Linked DNA regions of Drosophila melanogaster. The protein of the gene in region 2 purifies or fractionates together with the protein of the main gene of each other region. This does not show direct contact. Each region holds a gene or a part of one and is shown on either strand. Other genes may lie near its edges.

Region 1 (4,884 bases), on a different chromosome or scaffold from region 2:
TCAAAGCTGACACGTGTTCAAAGAACAATGCGGAAGGGGTCGGAAAGATGAAGGGGGAGTGAAGTTCACTGGAGCATGAGAAACACTTAGAAAAAATAAAGAAGAAACATAGGTAAGATAGATCGCAAGTTGCAACAAATGTTGAAAACCTTTAAAAATATACAAACTTGTTTGTTAAGAACTACTTGAGGACATACTATAATAATTCATAAGAAATATAAGACTGAATTTATTTCCAGTACAAAAGGGGCAGAAACCAGAAACCGCAAGACTCAAAGGTTTATACACGTGCGATGCGAATTCACAGTCGTCTCCCCTCATTTTATTTTGATGGATAACAATCTCCTGGGGCAGGTAGAGAGCGGAAACTGGTAAAGGGGCACAGAGTCCCACAAACCTCAAAGGATCAGCGGAAGGCGCCTAGTTCCAGGACAAGGGGATTGGCACAACAAAAATGGAATAAATGGAGTTTGGAGTGGGAAGAGCAAACAAAATCGGAACGAGATTTCCACTTCAAACAGGCCATTTTTATGAATTTGTAATTACTCTCGAGGGGCAAACAACTCTTGAAGATATGGGATAGGATAGCCCTGAGTTGCGTTGGTTGGTTCAATGTTTGTGCATACCGCGTACTCTTGGATTTGATGAGGTAGACACATCTTATATCTTATATTCAAGAATATTTGTTGGAGAATGTTATAACATTAACTGAGTGCATTGAACCACGAAGTTCCTGGTGCATTTAACCAATATTATGTATGCAATTAGTTGTTTCTTAAATGGAAGTACTGGGTATCTGTTAAGTCTGCATACACTGCCTTCCTCACAACTCATGGCTGTCCTTCCACTATATCATTCCATTTTATTGCACAATATTTTCTAGCACCACGTTGCCTTTTTCAGGCAGATAAGCGAAGATTTCCTCCGCGATAAGAACCCTGAGAATTCCTTGAAGCCAGGCTCCTTGCAGGGCCATTGGAATTGTCAACAACAAATATTTATGATTTGCGCTGGGGTTTCTTGTAACCCTCATTAGTCAATTGTCAGCAGCTCTTGAGGGGATTCGAGTTTTGGGATCGTATCGCAGCACTTGACTCTCAAGTTCTTATTGCTGATGGATTTACAATTTCCTAAATGAAAACTCCATTTTTGTTTAAACTGTTTGACCATGAACTCCAGATGTAAATAGCCGAGTTTTGTTTATCATTGAGAGCGAGAAAAAGTGTTGAAAATCGTGCTTTGTATTCTTGTTGCATTTGCCTTGTTGTGTTTTTCCTTAATTGTTGTTTACTTTTCGAGTGGAAAGCAGGCAACACTTACATAGGAACAACAATTTAAAATTGAATTGTAAAGACGAAAACTTTTGATTACACACATTTTGGGGTAAATTGGGAAAATGAGATACTGAGGCACACACATCAACATCATCATGTCGGCTCTTGTCTTTTGAAAACTTGGCAAAACAATGAGGGAAGTTGGAGCGAAAAGTCAATGGGCGGGGGAGTTGCCTCCATAAATCTCTTTCCGAATGCAAATGTTGCGTCAGCGTGGCATCTTCACGTTTTCCTACCCCATTTGTTGTGCCTCTGTTTGGCTTTGTTGATGCTTTTCTCACTTTTTAGTTGCTCGATTCCCCGGAAGTCTTTTTTTCTTTTTCTGGAGCGAATCGAAGAGCAGCAGCTGCCAACTCGAACTTTCTCTGAAGATCCCGGGAATTCGTGATCATTTCCATGCGCCTATTAATTCATCATTGAATTATTGCCCTTTTTCCCGGTATCCGTATCCCTTCAACAATTTCCTTTGCATTTGTTTACGGAATGACTATTTGGGGATTTATTCAAGCCGGCGTCTGACTGTGCATACAAATGATACCAAAGGGGTCGCGCTATTTTTGGGGCAACTCCATCCACCAAACTCTGGATGTTGATGGATTGAAATATCTGAGGATTAACACACATTATGTTTATGAAATGTTCAAAAGGATTTGTCAGGGCCGTGATTTATGTCAAATGGTTATGTTTTTCATACGGAGCCGCGACACAAGCCATTAGAAAGGATGGAAAATGGGAATTATTGAGGGAAAGAGTCCGTCTGATCATTGACACGAGCCATTAGACCTCAAGACGCGTAAGATGATGATGACGATGGGGTGGGTGTGCTTCGTTACGGAGGGATTATATCAATGAATCGTGAAGCCCCATTAATCTTATTAAGAGCTCGGAATGAAATGTTTTTCGAGACGCCATTTAAATTGTTTTGGTAAGATGTTTCCTCGGTAATTATGGATTGTGGAGGATTATAAATTAATTTAGAGCCGTCAAGATCGGATACCGACATATTTTAAAAGTTTTCAAATTAAGCTCTTATATCTTTTATCTTCTACTTTTCACAAATAACTCAGATTTCAATTGCTACGGCATTAGCGTTTTTCAATAAACTTTTTGGCCAAAATCTTTACATTTGTATAAAACTAAATAAATATGCATGTAAATTGTTTTATTCAATTATAATCACATTTTAATCTTTCAAGTTTGAAGTGTCCATATTCACTTGTTAAATTATTAAAGTTGGCAGACAAATTTGACTTCATTTACAATTCATCGATTTGTTTTCAACTGCTCTTCCTCTTCTACAAATCCCCGAGGTCCTTCACACGAATTTGTAATCTTACCTTTTTCAATTCTCGCAAACACTGTGTAAAATGTGTGTTGCTTTTTTCGAACTTGTTGAAATGTGGCAATTGGGAATAATCCGTTGGTCCTTGAAAACAGCGGGTGGCGTAAATGAACCCGATGTCCTTCCTGCAGGACACTTAGGTGTGTATAACAAACGCACAGATTTTTTGATTTGTTGCGGTTTTTTCTTTTCTCCGCTCCTTCGGCACAGAGCAAAACAAAATGCACAAAAGTAGTTGCGGTGTTTTTGTTAGATTTGTGTAAATATATTTCTTGCACTTAATACAACATACGATGCACAATAGGAATATAAAAAGTTATTCCTTGTTTGCGCCGAATTTGATTTTGTTTTCTTTTGGTCGCGTCTGTGCGGCGAGAGTGTGTGTGTGTGTGCGATGCGAAAGCGAGCACAACCGGAGCGAGGGAAAACGCGTGCGGCTTCCAAAACAGAACAAAACTGACTGACGCCGTTTCGATGTCATGCAATTCATGCGGCTTCGAAACGGTTAACAGAGTCTTAACAGCAACTGTTAATGTTAATTTTCTTGGATTTGTTTTTATTCGGGGAACTGGAAGTGGAACGTGTTTTCGGCGAGAACATGTTTCTCTCTTGAAAAAAAGAAAAAACATAATTTAAGATATAACTTGTAAGTTTATAATAGTATACAAATTATGTCAAGCAACAGTGATTAGCATTGAAAACACCTACACAACGAATTGTTGTAATATTTTATAAGTAATTTAATTAAACTTATTAGACATGATCATAATTCATGTTTATGATTTAGTTCGAACTGGACCACTGTGCACTGGAACTGGAAGCAGCCGGCATTGTAAATTTATAAATCATAGGGGTGGCTGGAAAGCAGCAGTAAAAGTAGCGGCTTTGTTTTCCTGTACAGTAAGTGCAAAATGTTCGATGGTGATTTTATGAAAAAGGTATTGTAGTTTTGGTAAAGCGTTTATTGTTAGTGAAACAAGACACCTCAGATATTATGATCAGATCAGATACTTTATAGAACATGTAGGAGAACATAGGGTAAAATTGTTATAAATTGTTCAAGTCAACACCCAAAACCCAAAGTAGAGGTATTACGTAGTCTACAGCTCTTTATAAATATAAAACTTAAAGTTATTAAAAATTTCTGAGTTGTACATGCTTCAAATAGAAGTAGATGCCGATCTCCCTATATTTCTTTGTTATTAATTTTTCTTAAAAAGAGAGGGAAGCTGGCAAGGGGAAGGGAAAGAAGTTTGTTGATATGGCACTTTTGTTTGAGTAAAGGTTTTGATTTCGGTTTTTGAAACTCGTTTTCAAATGCTTATCAACTGGCGGCAAGTGTTGAAGCGCAGTTTATGCCGATGGGAACATCTGGCATATGTAGGGAAATTCCACGTCCTGATGCGTCATTACAGCACAAACCCTTACCCTTGGCTACCTCCAACCCAACACCCCTTTTCGCATAGGGTTTCATATCCCTACCCCTGAGAAAATTCACTTATTTGGTAAGAAAGACAAAATATAATGATTCTTTCAATCAACTTTTGCGCAATGAAAACTATAAAGAAGATTTTAATGCATTTATTTTGAGCGATACGCAAATCAACAGAATGATTCATCCACAGTTATGAGAAAAACATACGTTGTTGCAGTTTATTTAATAAAGGGCACTCCCCCAGTATTATACTTTCAATTACTATATAGTATGTGCTCTATTTTATAAAAATGTTACGCTTATGATTTATGAGTAATCAACTAATGTAGGAGATATGTCTTCAGACAATTAGGCTACCCATTTAACTAAAGTGTTTGGTAAATATTTTTCAATATTTCAATATTTTCATTGTATACCTATGTATGTACATAGTTTAATATTTATATTGAACTTGTGTCGGTTGAATTATTAGAACAGAAGCCATGACGACACGTGCTAGAAATGTATTAGAAGTCGATTCCCCTGTTCTTCCAAAGGTATTACCCCACGGAATTCCTACCCACATGTCAACAACTTTCACGCCCCGAACTATGAGGGTTCCCTATTTCATTGTGGAGCTACTGAAGCATTTCATTAGACATGATGTTAGGCGACATCTGCTACCGAAAAAAAGGAATAAATATGGTAGGAAACTAGAAAATAAAAGTGAAGGTTGGCTCGAGTTACATACGTATTTGAGTTTGACGCATGCCCGTCACGTCGAAGGGGAAGGA
Region 2 (5,450 bases):
AAGCTTTAACATTTTAAAACACACCCAACGAGCCAGTTGACCTTTAAGCAAGTGTCGCAAGGCCTTAAGTGAAATATTTTTTAATGACATTTGCCAAATAATTGTCGTGTTTGCTTTTGGGATCTGGCAGGAGCTTGTTGCTGTTGGCCGGGCTTTGCTGCTTCTGCCGCTGCCAACTGGCAACAAAAGTCAATTCACAGACACTCCAGTCGACGGAGTCGGAGTGCAGCCAAAAGGCAAACAAAATACGTTCGCATAGGCAAAGCCCAAGGATACACACAAAGGTACAGTGGTTGCTCTGACTACAAATACAAATTAAACAGGGCCAGAGCTTTAATACCAATTCGATACCATTGCAACAACAGCATTTCAAATGCTACTTTTTTATATCAGATAAAGATAGGTAGAAAAGGCTATATTTACGTTAAAGGCAAGCTGATATTTTAGAAATTTATTCAAAAACAAAATTAATTACTTTGACACATAATATTGTATTTAGTCATCTGACTAGAAACTAGAAATCTCTGAATGTAACGAAGTTCTGTGCATTCTTACAAATATTACAAAAAGTATCTGCTAGATACCACTGTGCGGAACTGGGCCACAAATTCAGACGCAGTGTGTGACAAAGGACTTCTCCCTTCCCCGCTCGGCGACCCTGAATGCTGAATGCCCCCGTGTGTGCCGCTGCTGAAGCGAAACACCCAAAGAGTCACTGACAGAAACAGGATTCGGGTAATAAATTACAAAATTTGACATTTTCTGTTTTGGATCCGCTTGCGCCTGAATGCGAGCGGCAGCCCTCTCTGTCGCACGCCGTCTAGCCGTCTCTTTCGTTCGGTTTCGGTGTGTGTCCAGTTCGGTCGGGCCAAGTCGAGCGTTGCATGAAGCAGCCGGACCTGCCAGGACCTGGACCAGGACCTGAACCTGCATCCAAGAGGCATCGCCGCAATGGTCATAATGACGCTGCCGGGATGCAGCTGAGGACAAGGAGAGCCGTCAGTGGGCAGCGAGAAAGGGACGGAATAGAAGCGCCCTATGCGGTCCGTTGATAGTTAACTGGAAATTTATTATTTTACACAATTTACAATTATCTGATTCGAATGTGCACTCAGCGACGAGGATTCCGGCAGATGGGCAGTACGAGTGAGAGTGCGGGGGTCCAAGTTCGGACGACAGATGCAGTTGTCCTCCCATGGGAACGGCCTCATTTCAGCAGAAGTCACCGAAACGATTTAAGATGTGATTTAATTTTCCAGAAACTGTGGCCATAGTTTCGTCGCTCTTCGGGGGAATTTCTTCGCCAGACAGACAGCGTCGTCATCAATCATCTCGCAGAGTAAAGCCGGGTTAACCTCGATGGGTTTTAGGGGGAAACTTGGCCCGGGGCTGATCAGGAATCAGGCTGGAAATATGAAAATTAAATGCGTTTGGGCAGCAGAAAGTTTTCGAATGGTTCGGTGCTTATACAACAAGTGAAATTTTGCACATCAAACGGCCTTTGACCACATTTAATCCTTAAATCATCTGCCATAGGAACTAATTGATCGAGATCCAGACACATATTAAACACATCAATATATATACACAAATATAATCAATATAGACTATGTTATATTTCGACGTTTCCTATCCTCGTATGCTGTGAGTACACATATTAACCTTCAGCCGTGTAAAGAAATTTCTACGAACAGCCAAGTTAAAGGTACCCAAATTTCCCGAATACTGCTCTTTAAATATCCTTCAGAATTTCCCAGCATGGCTGAACCAGGACTCGATTCAAGTTCCACCCAATGCCTTGTACACCACCCCGTTGTTTTTGCCTTTTCGCGCATGCGCCCCTGCTCCGGCGCAAAAGAGACAGCACTAATGAGACGGCGCTGGGATCGCTGGCATTTCCAGAGCGGCTAGGATATTCCAGGGACCGCTCGTAATCGTTGCTGTTGTTGTTAGCCGCCAGCGGAAAGTAGTGCGCCATGCCATAAATCACACAAATGGGTAGAGTTCCAACTTTCCCACCCCGCCGCTGCTCCTTTTATTGTCCTTCCACGAACCCCGAAACGTTTATGGCCAAATGGCGGCACGAATTTGAATTTGAATTTCGCACGCGGTCTCTCAGTTCGCCTGCGGCCGCTTTCGCTGGCGCTTTGTTTTTGCAACTGACCGCTTATCTTGGGGCGGGGGCTGTCAAGTGGGCGGGGCAGGAGGGCCACAGGCAGAGGCATAAACAACAGCAGCGAGCAGCAAAACAAATCAATTAAAGACCAGAAGGAAAGTGCATTGATAACTGAGCCCGAAGTCAAACTCACGCACAAGTAAACAATTTAAATACGAACTAAAATGCAAACACAGATACAAAATACAGATAGAGATACTGAACAAACACAGATACAAATACTGTGAAGGCGACAATGTACATAACCGAGGGGTGATAAGATCCAAAACGTCGATGACTTCTTCATCGGCAAATACACTGAAAAAAGCTGTTACTAATTATTAAAAAATATGCAATATAATAAAAGGTAAACTATTTTTTTTACTAAATTTTAAACTATTTACTAAACACTGCCATTTAAAATCTTTTTTCACATCCTTAACTACAAAAAAATTAATTTTAAATCAAATTGATTTCGTTTACCTGGCTATTCATTAAAAAAAAAAATAAGTATTGATATATCGGAAAACTAAGTTATCTCCGTTTTTACCAGTGTATCCATTAAGAAGCAACGTTGTCTAGACACAGCCGCGGTAATCAATCATAATGGTGTCTATCTGCTTCATTCTCGCGGTGTACAAATTTCGGGACTTTCCTTGAGAAACCGAGCCATCGACGTCGGCGCGTCAGGAAGAATACAAAAATAAGAACCCGATTCTCAGAACCTCAGCAGAGATACGGATTTTTGAGCCGAGCTCGGTCGCCTCTTTCAATTCAGTCGAGTCCCGAACGCGAAGTGAAGCGCATTGAACCCACATTGAACTGAGAGATAGTCGAGGAAAAAGAGTCACAAAATCAACAGCAACATCCTGTAAATAAACAGAAATGTATGAATTATATTAAAATAAGACGATAAAGCTGAAAAGTGTGTACAAGCCTTATAAATGTTTCAAAACGAGTGTGTGTGCAGAATTCTTTCCTTCTTATTTACTTTTGAAAGATACTTTTAAAGATATACTTGTGACCTTTAAATTATTATTCTATAATTGAACCTAGTTTTAGTTTATTATATTGAATTCGAAGATGGGTTAAAAATGGCAGTTCTCCATTACATACGAAATATTTAGAATGGCTAACGCGATCAAAAGACTCAACATAAAGTGATACACTAATAAATCTCAAATCTATTTTGATTTCTTACAGACCAGACATGGCGCGTCTGCGGCTTCTAATCGGTCTTATATTCTGCCTTGCGATCAGCTTGGATTCGGTGCTTAGTGCCCCAGTGATCAGCCAGATCAGCAAGGACGTGGTGGCCAGTGTGGGCGACTCTGTGGAGTTCAACTGCACCGTGGAGGAGGTGGGACAGCTCTCGGTGAGCTGGGCCAAGCGTCCCAGCGAGTCGGACACCAACTCGGTGGTGCTCTCCATGCGGAATATCCTCAGTCTGCCCGACCAGCGGTACAACGTAACGGTCACCGAAGGACCCAAGACCGGAAGTGCCATTTACACCTTCCGCATTCAGAACATCGAAGTCAGTGACATGGGTCCGTACGAGTGTCAGGTGCTTGTTTCGGCCACGGAGAAGGTGACCAAGAAGCTGAGCCTGCAGATCAAGACCCCGCCGGTGATTGCGGAGAACACCCCCAAGAGCACCCTGGTGACAGAGGGACAGAATCTGGAGCTGACCTGCCATGCCAATGGCTTTCCCAAGCCTACGATCTCCTGGGCCCGCGAGCATAATGCAGTGATGCCTGCCGGTGGCCATTTGCTGGCCGAACCAACTCTCCGGATTCGTTCCGTGCACCGGATGGATCGCGGCGGCTACTACTGCATCGCGCAGAACGGAGAGGGCCAGCCGGACAAGAGGTTGATCCGGGTCGAAGTGGAGTTCCGTCCGCAGATTGCCGTCCAGAGGCCCAAGATCGCCCAAATGGTGTCCCATTCCGCGGAGCTGGAGTGCTCCGTGCAGGGCTACCCGGCTCCGACTGTAGTTTGGCACAAGAATGGCGTGCCCCTGCAGTCTAGCCGGCACCACGAGGTGGCCAACACCGCCTCCTCCTCGGGAACCACAACCTCTGTGCTGCGCATCGATAGCGTGGGCGAGGAGGACTTTGGGGACTACTACTGCAATGCCACCAATAAGCTGGGACACGCCGATGCGCGACTGCATCTCTTCCAGACCGTCATCCCAGTGCCCTCCTTGTCGTAATAAGCCCTCAACGTCTGATTTCCATTCCCACGCAACAAGACTGGAACCCTCACTTTCTCCTCTCGTCTCGCTTTTTCGGCAATTCGCCAGTCCGGATGCGGTCTGTGTTTATATTATTAATGATTCATTCAATTAGCTCCCATTCAGACTTCATTATTTTCGGACACACTTGAGATCGAGCCACCGCTTGTGCCTTATGAATTTTGCTCTGCATCCGTCGGCTTGTGCAAACACACATTAATATGCTTAAGTAAATAACGTTCTCTGATAAAGTTTAATCGGTCTTTTCCTATGTGGTTGGGTTGGCTTGTATACGGTGTAAGTTAAATACCATGAGAGAATAAACACCTCTTGAAGCAACGAATTAAAGGGTTTGTCATTCAATAAAACTAAGCCAGGAGACAAGGCATTGTCAAAAGTATTTCATTGTTTTATCGAGAGGGAATCTAAAAATATATGGTAAGTGCAGATATAAATGAAAAATTAATCACTTCTAAACAACACCCAATGCTCCATGGATCTTATTAATTTATAACAATAAACAATTCAAACTTTACACTTTAAAAGCCACAGTTTCGTTAGAATGATGGCTAGAACATCCAAATCTTTTAAAAATCCATTAACTTTTTTGGATGCCACTTTCCAAACCCTAAATAACAGATCTTTCAAGATCTTCTTCCTTAAAGCTGCCATCTGAGTCCGCAAGGTCCCACCTTGACACCAAAAACAGCATGTAACCTCCATTCTGAGCTGGTATTCCAACGGTTAACGCTGCCGAAGTCATTTGCCAAAAAGTTAACCGAGCCCGCTCAAAGTGCCACAGCGTTTAACTCTTCAATCATGGTTAAAAAATGGCAGTCAGTTGTTCACCTCTTGACGTAAACACTCACATGGTCAAAATGCGGAGTGGGTTGTGTGGCGAAAAGTGAACCCGAATGTAAGTTGTTCATTGTAATTGAGAAAAATGCGAGGCATTTGTAAGGCGGTCCAACGAGCTGGGTCTGCCACTGGTACATGAACTATTCGGGAGCTTGTGCGGGGATCCAGTCCAGAGTGCCCAAAGGACTCCATTATGGCCGGAGC

Evidence for each region.
Region 1: the proteins of Ama (region 2) and Nrt purify together in Drosophila melanogaster (affinity purification with western blotting; 3 studies listed by BioGRID, with this or other methods). This does not show direct contact.

What each region holds. Positions count from the first base shown.
Region 1 is NT_037436.4:16,764,328-16,769,211, reverse strand, and holds the start of Nrt (neurotactin), read right to left. Parts: upstream 3,141-4,884; 5' UTR 2,672-3,140; intron 1-2,671. UniProt on the Drosophila melanogaster protein: May mediate or modulate cell adhesion between embryonic cells during development.
Region 2 is NT_033777.3:6,760,475-6,765,924, forward strand, and holds Ama (amalgam), read left to right. Parts: upstream 1-2,118; 5' UTR 2,119-2,505; coding exon 2,506-2,522; intron 2,523-2,705; exon of another isoform or gene 2,706-3,042; intron 3,043-3,358; coding exon 3,359-4,367; 3' UTR 4,368-4,787; downstream 4,788-5,450.